Danio rerio: one gene and its partner. Each later gene encodes a partner of the first gene's protein in a complex. Links are inferred from orthologs where the notes say so. Each region holds a gene or a part of one and is shown in the gene's direction. Other genes may lie near its edges. The genes, in order: cpsf6 and tnpo3.

Evidence for each region.
Region 2: the proteins of cpsf6 (region 1) and tnpo3 are in contact, whole or in part, in a crystal structure (PDB 6GX9), measured with the Homo sapiens proteins. The link is inferred for Danio rerio from reciprocal best matches to the Homo sapiens genes CPSF6 and TNPO3. Residues at the interface, in NP_008938.2 of Homo sapiens: Tyr521, Arg522, Glu523, Arg524, Ser525, Glu527, Arg528; in NP_036602.1 of Homo sapiens: Arg620, Asn656, Arg657, Glu660, Arg661, Arg664, Arg667, Phe668, Arg671, Ser698, Cys699, Tyr702, Ile706, Asp709, Asp747, Asp750, Asp751, Arg754, Arg758, Gln761, Cys793, Arg797.

Annotation. Positions count from the first base shown.
Region 1 is NC_133179.1:2,380,908-2,384,737, reverse strand, and holds part of cpsf6 (cleavage and polyadenylation specificity factor subunit 6), read left to right. Parts: intron 1-372; coding exon 373-546; intron 547-1,144; coding exon 1,145-1,628; intron 1,629-3,601; coding exon 3,602-3,717; intron 3,718-3,790; coding exon 3,791-3,830. UniProt on the Homo sapiens protein: Component of the cleavage factor Im (CFIm) complex that functions as an activator of the pre-mRNA 3'-end cleavage and polyadenylation processing required for the maturation of pre-mRNA into functional mRNAs.
Region 2 is NC_133179.1:14,176,018-14,179,847, forward strand, and holds part of tnpo3 (transportin-3), read left to right. Parts: intron 1-1,485; coding exon 1,486-1,598; intron 1,599-2,116; coding exon 2,117-2,177; 3' UTR 2,178-2,209; intron 2,210-3,830. UniProt on the Homo sapiens protein: Importin, which transports target proteins into the nucleus. Specifically mediates the nuclear import of splicing factor serine/arginine (SR) proteins, such as RBM4, SFRS1 and SFRS2, by recognizing phosphorylated SR domains.

The DNA of each region.
Region 1 (3,830 bases):
GCTTTGAAATGTGCATTTTTGTTTGATGTGTGATGTAGTTTCCAATGAAATGTGAAGACAGGGTGGGACATAGAATAGCTCCTTCCCCTTAAAAAGATGGGTGGGACGTGTCAAATATATGCATTTGATTGGCCAGCAGATTTGATAAAAAAAAAAATCCATTTAAGATAAAGTGACAATCTGCAACTTTTTATGTTTTTATCTTGTAAATGTAAATTTTATCACTGTTTTGGAGCACACTAGACTATAGATATCCTTAAAACTAACATCTAATGTTAATTTTGATTTCACGGGGACTTTAAACTTACTGAATGAGAATAGCGTTGCTGTATGTGTGCTGCAGTTTAGAAGAGTGTGTTTTGGTCCACGCAGGCACACAGTCAGGACAGATGTCAGGAGAGGGGAAGGCTGGTCCTCCAGGCTCAGGATCTCGAGGTGGAGGATTCCCTCCTGGCAAAGGTCAGAGACGCTTTCCTGGCCCACCTGGACAAGGAGACCGCTTCCCTGGACCGGTTGGACCTGGCGGTCCTCCACCACACTTCCCAGGTATAAGCTTGAACAGGAGTGAACTTTTGAATTGTCAGTATATACATCAGAACTAACAGCTATTATTATAGGTCTGCAATGGGAGGAAACAAATAGGACTGTAATTTGTTCTATCAGTTGTTGGATCTATAACAACTGATAGAGAAGATTTAATAATGCAAGTTTCTACAACATTATACAGACTTAAAGTAGAGGGTAAAAATGTACATTTTTGTTGTGGACCGGCACATATTGGAATAATGGGAAATAAAATTGGCAGATAAATTGGCAAAAAGAATCATTGAAGAAAAATCAAGTAGATGTTAAAGTACCTTTGGGAAGGAATGAAATGAGATCAGTAATTAATAAGGAAATAACAAATATTTGGCAACAATATTTGGTCTGAAAACTGATGCTCTGAGGTGAATGGGTCACTTTTCAAGTGAATCAGAAAAAGTTGATCAATTGTCCTAAATCAAGAATGGGTGATGTTTAATGTTCACCACAAAACTAGCAGTGTGAGCTCCCAAAATCATACGGTTAGTTTTGATTTCATGTGTATTTTTGTAATCCCTTCTCCTCTCTGCTTCAAAATGTAATGCATCAAATCTTCTTGCAGGTATGCAGGGCCCACCACGTCTTCCCTCTGGCCCACCTGGGCCCCTGGGACCTCCAGGCCCCCCTCCACCTGGACAAGGTCTGCCTCCTCCCCTCGGCGGACCCCCTAACAGAGGAGACCGTCCTCCTCCACCTGTCTTGTTTCCTGGTCAGTTCGGGCAACCCCCAATGGGCCCGATGCCTCCTGGGCCTCCCCCACCAGGATACGGGCCTCCCCCAGGCCCCCCTCCACCTCAGCAGGGACCACCCCCTCCAGGACCCTTCCCTCCCCGTCCACCTGGGCCCTTAGGACCCCCGCTTGGCCTCGCACCCCCACCACACATGCAGGGACCCCCACCTGGAGGCCCACCGCCGGCTCCTCACGTCAACCCGGCCTTCTTCCCACCACCTGGAAACAACATGCCATCATCTGACGGCAGAGGACCCCCACCTGGAGACCCGTACGGCCGCCCACCTCCTTATGACAGAGACTTCCCTGGTGGCAGGTAATAAACACATCGCCCACAACTACACCTATACTCTAAAAAGCCCGAAGTGTATGTGCACAGTTAAATGAACAGTCTTACTATAGTATGCTGTGATGGCATGCTCACTACAACAGATAACACTGCAAATATGCATTCAATTGTTTTTCATTGGAAGCACATTTAGATGTAATTTAATCATTTCACATTACATTTTAATATTGACAGCCATAACTTGATAACATTTTATAAATATTAAAAAATAAGTGAAGTTTCACAAACTAATTTCTAGAAGAGCACGTGATATGATCAACTAGAGCTGATCCTCATCACTGATCATTAGCTAGCCTATCAGATCATTCCAAAACTACTATGAATATCCTGCCTAAACTCCGTTCCCTGTCTTCGTTTTTGGCAAACCCCCTTCTATCCTTCCCTTCTCCTTCCTCGTTAATTATATGATAGGGCAACAGGGTGGCTCAATGGCTGGCGCTGCTGCCTCGCAGTGGGAGGGCCAAAGGTTCAAGTTCTAATTGAGCCAGTCGTTACTCTCTGCCATGAGTTTGCATGTTCACCCTGTGTTCCCGTATGTTTTCCTCGGGTACTCCGGTTTCCTCCAACAGTCTTAAAACATGTACATAAGCGAACTGTAAAGTCATAAGCACTTAACGCATACATACTGAATCAGTCAGAACCACCATATTAACCATAGTATAAAACAAACGAGAGGGCTCTCGAAGAATACCCGATCTCCTATCCAAACTAATGCTCATTGACCAAACGGGAACCTTGTGCTCTTCGATTTGAGATTCAGGTTCTCTCCTGGGACAGCATGCCAAACCTGCTATCATAGTTAAGCATTGTCTAAGTGTGAACTCCTAAATGTATTTATATATTGTTACGTGTTAATGATGTTAAATAATTAAAAGGATGATACGTAACAATCAGTGAGTCCATTGATGCTGGGTGAATAAGGAGAAGACACAAACGCTTGATAAGTGAAACAAAAAGTAAGTATTTATTAATGGATAATGTCAAACAATGAATATGAGATGGAAGATAAATGTAATTTTAAATAATTGAATTAAATAAAGAAAAATAGGAGTGTTGCCAAAACAAAGAAATAAATATAACAAAACGATCTAACTAAACCCCAACCCACTAAACTGACTGATCAAAGAAAAATGCAGAAACAAAACAGTAATCTTCAGCACGTAGCTTAACTAAACTTCATAACTCCCAAACATAATTACACATGAGGCAACGCCTCCAAAAACGAACTAATACAAAGTTATACTAAGCTGCTCGAAATACTAGAATTCTTGTAAAGTACAGACTGTTAGCCATTAGCAAAACAAGATCTCAGGTAATCCAATTCTCATAAAGATCGTTCATATTCTCACTATACATTAACCTGAGCAGCACAAGTTTAACTGATAAATCCATATCAACAAAGAGAAAACTAGAACACAGCACTCGCAAACAAACCAAGCGGAACAAACAAGTCAACAGTTTGAGAGATTGACAGGCCAAGCGCTCCTCCAGAACAGCGCAAGCGCACCGGTTTTATACTGCGCGGACCCAATCCTTATTAGCGCCGATTGAGTGACGAAGGTGAATGACAGCTCACTCGACCAATGGTAGCACACCTGAAACAGGATAGGACCACTGCGAGAGAGAGAGAGAGAGAGAGAGAGAAGAGCGCAAAGCAGAAAACAACAAAAATACCACAAAACATACGTGAAACGTAACTATTTTTTTAAACCTGTCTATCTTGCATTTGGATGGTATTTCCTTTTATTTTGGTGTCGCTTTAGTTTTTAGTTGCTGAAATGTCTGTGCCTCACTTTGATTTAACATGTGATGCAATGTGATTCAGCACTAACGACCACTGCAGCTCTTTGTGTGAATTCGATCCCTGAAGCATTACGCTTCGCTCTGACTCGTGCTTTTAGTTTGCGCGTGTTCATTAATCAGCATTTTGTGTGCTTCAGGGACATGGATGCGTCTCGCACTCCCCTGAGCGAAGCTGAGTTTGAGGAGATCATGAACCGGAACAGAGCGATTTCCAGCAGCGCTATTTCAAGGGCCGTTTCTGATGCCAGTGCAGGTGTGGAGATCATTACACCCAGCACAAATATGAGGTGTGGTGTGTTGTGAATTAACCGTTTCCGTTTCTGCAGCTGATTACGGCAGTGCTATAGAGACTCTGGTGACGGCCAT
Region 2 (3,830 bases), about 12 Mb from region 1:
TGTTCAAAATCGATTTTTTTTATTTGTCAGAAATAAGGGTTGCAAGAATGTTTTGTTCATTTATTACAACAGCTGCACCTGAGGCAAAAAGTCAAGTTCATTATATATGTATTAATAGATGTTGTAAGCGTATAGCTTAAAACAGTGGTGTCCAAACTTTGTTCTGGAGGGCCAGTGTCCTGCTGAGTTTAGCTTCAACTTACTTCAACAAAGTTTCTAGTTAATCTAGTATGGCTGCGTCCAAAATCGCATACTTCCATACTATTCGGTATGGTAATAACAATATGGGAGCCGAGTAGTATGTCAGAGTTTGAAAATCAGTATGCAAGAAGTACCCGGATGACTTGCTATTTCCGGTGAGATTCTGAAATTTGCATGATGCACGATGTACTGTCCCATGATCCCCAGCGAGAGAATTCATGAATGGGAGTGAAGCGGCGCAACTCATCGGGTAGGTCATGTGATCATGACAAAATGATGGATGTAGTACGTCCAATTCCATTGATACTGTATGGATTGTACTTTTCTAATGACCGAGTAATATATTTACATAGTAGGTGGTTTTGGACGCAGCCTTTATCTAGTAAGAGCTTGATTAGCTGGTTCAGATGTGTGATTAGGGTTGTAGTTAAACTCTCCAGCACACTGGCCCTCCAGGACTGAGTTTGACATCCCTGGCTTAAAACCTCTTGAAACTGCTCAGTTTTTGGCTAAAATATCTTGTACACTTGTTGTAAACTTATTTCTTAAAACTTAAAAGTTCTTAAAGCTATGTCGCTGCTCGATTTTGGCTAAAATATCTTGGACATTTAAACCTTTTTGCCGTGGGTGAACTATACTTGGAGCATTTTTAGCAGTAGGATACATTTTTGTTCATTTTTAATACATTTTTCTTTGATTTTAAATATTTGTGAAACCCACAGGAAGACATAAAGAGTGAAGAATGACATTAAAATATGGACGAAAAAAATGACAAAATATGTATATACAAGGTTTCTGTTTATGACTTTCATCTGGTAGTTTTTATATAAAGTGACTTATTACATTCAAGATTTTTGATTTTTGTTTTAATCAATTAATTTAGTTTTGATAAATATTTTAAATAAAATGAATAAGATGAAAAAATATATTTTTTCTTTATTTTATGTACTGTATATTTAGTTATGTGAAGGATTTAGTTTTTTATGAGGTTTTTCATTGAGTTTTATAATGGTTTATATGATTATACATATTTCATCAGTTTTTTTAATTAAAATATTTTTTCATAGCAATATTAAAATTATCCTGAATTTTTCTTGTCTTTTTTTAAAATCTAATTTAATGATATTTTATTTGTATTTACCATTTTTTATTGATCCTTTTTGTCACTATTCCTATTTAAACCACTTCATACATTTGTAGATTTTTTTTAATATGTATTATTTTGTCATAAATGAGTCTGTGATATTATAAAATGCTCATACACGTTCTTTCCTGTGCTTGTAGACGTTTTGTCGCTGGCTGGAAACCACACTTAAGGGTCTTCCTAAAGAAACAGCAGGGGGCGCTGTCACCGTCACACACAAACAGCTCACTGACTTCCACAAGCAGGTCACGAGGTGAGTCCGTCTGTTCCTGCCGTCACAATGACTCTTCAAAGCACACCAGACGCATTAGGATGCATTCATCGCAATTACATTACACTCCCAAACAAAATGGCCATGATTAAAAGAGCTGTTGTCCACAATTAAAAGTAATACGGGACTCATCAGTGTAGATTACAGGCAGCATTTGTATCTTGGCCTATTGCAAGTTAGTGCACGTTCAGATTACTCTGTGGTTTACTCTACACAACAAGCCTAAACAAGCACCAATAACCAGTCGTCCAGGAGGGTGAAGTATGTCGTTCCTCTGCAAGTCTTGACCTGAGATGCCAAATACAAACTCTTATAGTGAGTGCAGGATGAGTCATAGACTTGCGTGGAAAGTCCAACCCACGCCAAAATGACTGATTTATTGCTCGCGCATGCTTATGGCGTGCTCGCGAGTTGATTTTAAAATAGCAGGCCATCTTGTTGTTTAGTTCTGTTGAAATGTGATGATAATTTTCTGCCTTTCTGTAAATCTGTCACCATAGTGCAGAGGAATGTAAACAGGTTTGTTGGGCCATAAGAGAGTTTACCAGGCTGTACCGATAGCTGTCTTCTACCTGCTGATGCTGCAAGACCAGGTGAGAGAGAGAGAGGAAAATGAAACAATTTGTCAGTGTATTGTGCATAACATTGAATGTGTCTTTTCTATGTTTATTCAAATTAGGGCTGCACAATATACTGTTTCGGCATTGACATCGCAATATGTGCATCACCAATCGCGAGATACTCGATGAGTCTGAATAATGTTCACCAGGAGCTTCAGAATTGATTTAATTACTGCATTTATATAGAAATGTATACGATTTATCCCCCCCCAAAAAGTTTTTCTTTATTTTTCAATATTTTTCTAGTCCAAATATTCACATTTTAGAGCAAAAACAAGATTATTTGACTTAATTTAGCTTGTTTTAAGGAAAAACTCTTAATTTTGCCTAATTTCCAAAGTTGAAAACAAAACTATTTGACTTGATCTAAGAATTTTTAGATATTTGGACTAGAAATGAGACTAAGCAAAATAAGAAAAGCATGTTTTGCATTGGGATTATTGCATTTCTGTACCTGAATACTGTTCAGACTCGCCAGAAAAACTGTCAAACAGTGCTTTTTAAACTAGATCTTGTTAAACTTATCGCAGAAAAATAAAATATTGCAATATCAGATTTTTCTAATATCCTGCAGCTCTAGTTCAAATGATTTTTAATGTATAAAGTGAATACAAACACAGTGCGCAGCATAAATGAGTATCCCTTCCATTTGAAAATGCTAGACTTTTATACATTTTTATCAGTAAATGTGGACGAAACAATAGTGATGGAGGAAATTAAGATTTCGTTTCAAAAAAGTTGAACCAGTTGCTTTGCAAAATGTATTTCGAAGCATTTAAAACACCTAGAGAGACCCGGTGGTCAAAATAATAAATAAAAACGTGTTATTACAAACTTGTCTGCATAATACACATTTTAAAGGCGTATATATAGATTTTTTTTTTTGCATGGTGGGCTCTGCTGAACAGGCCAACAAGAGAAGAGACTAGTAACTATTATTCCTTTTCAATTTACAAATGCATTCATTCATTTTCCACAGCGGAATGAACTGCTAATTTTTCCGGCATACGTTAAACGCAACCGATACCCTTCCAACTGCAACCCAGCACTGGGAAATCATTTTACAAATGTCTTCAAACTTTTAAAAGCAAAAAAAAAAGGTTCAGTAATTTACCACTGGCCTTTATGGCATTACACAGATCACCCCCAGCTGGAGAATCATTAAATGTTAGAATATTACCATTAATATTATAGAACAAAACCATTAAATATTAACTTGCAAATTTGATGCATGCTCCAAAACCACAGATTCGAAATGGAAGATTCTGAAAGGTTTCAAAGCTTCTTGAAGCAGTGTTTTGAAAGCAGCTATCACTATAAAAGTAGTTTAATTAAAAGCATTGATTTGGTAATGTATGTGTGCCCACCTAACATCTTTGGCATAAATAAAGTGTTGCAAAAATGATAACAACCTATGACAACTCGAACGAATCCAATATTTTCACCCTCCCCCCCATTCATTGACTTGTTTTCTCCTAAAACATTCATTGGGATGTTTCTATTTTCACCAGAGTATCTGTGGGGTCTTAATGTCCTAAATTTCAAAATTTACATTTTAGGCCTTAAAGTCTTAAATTCACTGAAATATTGCTTT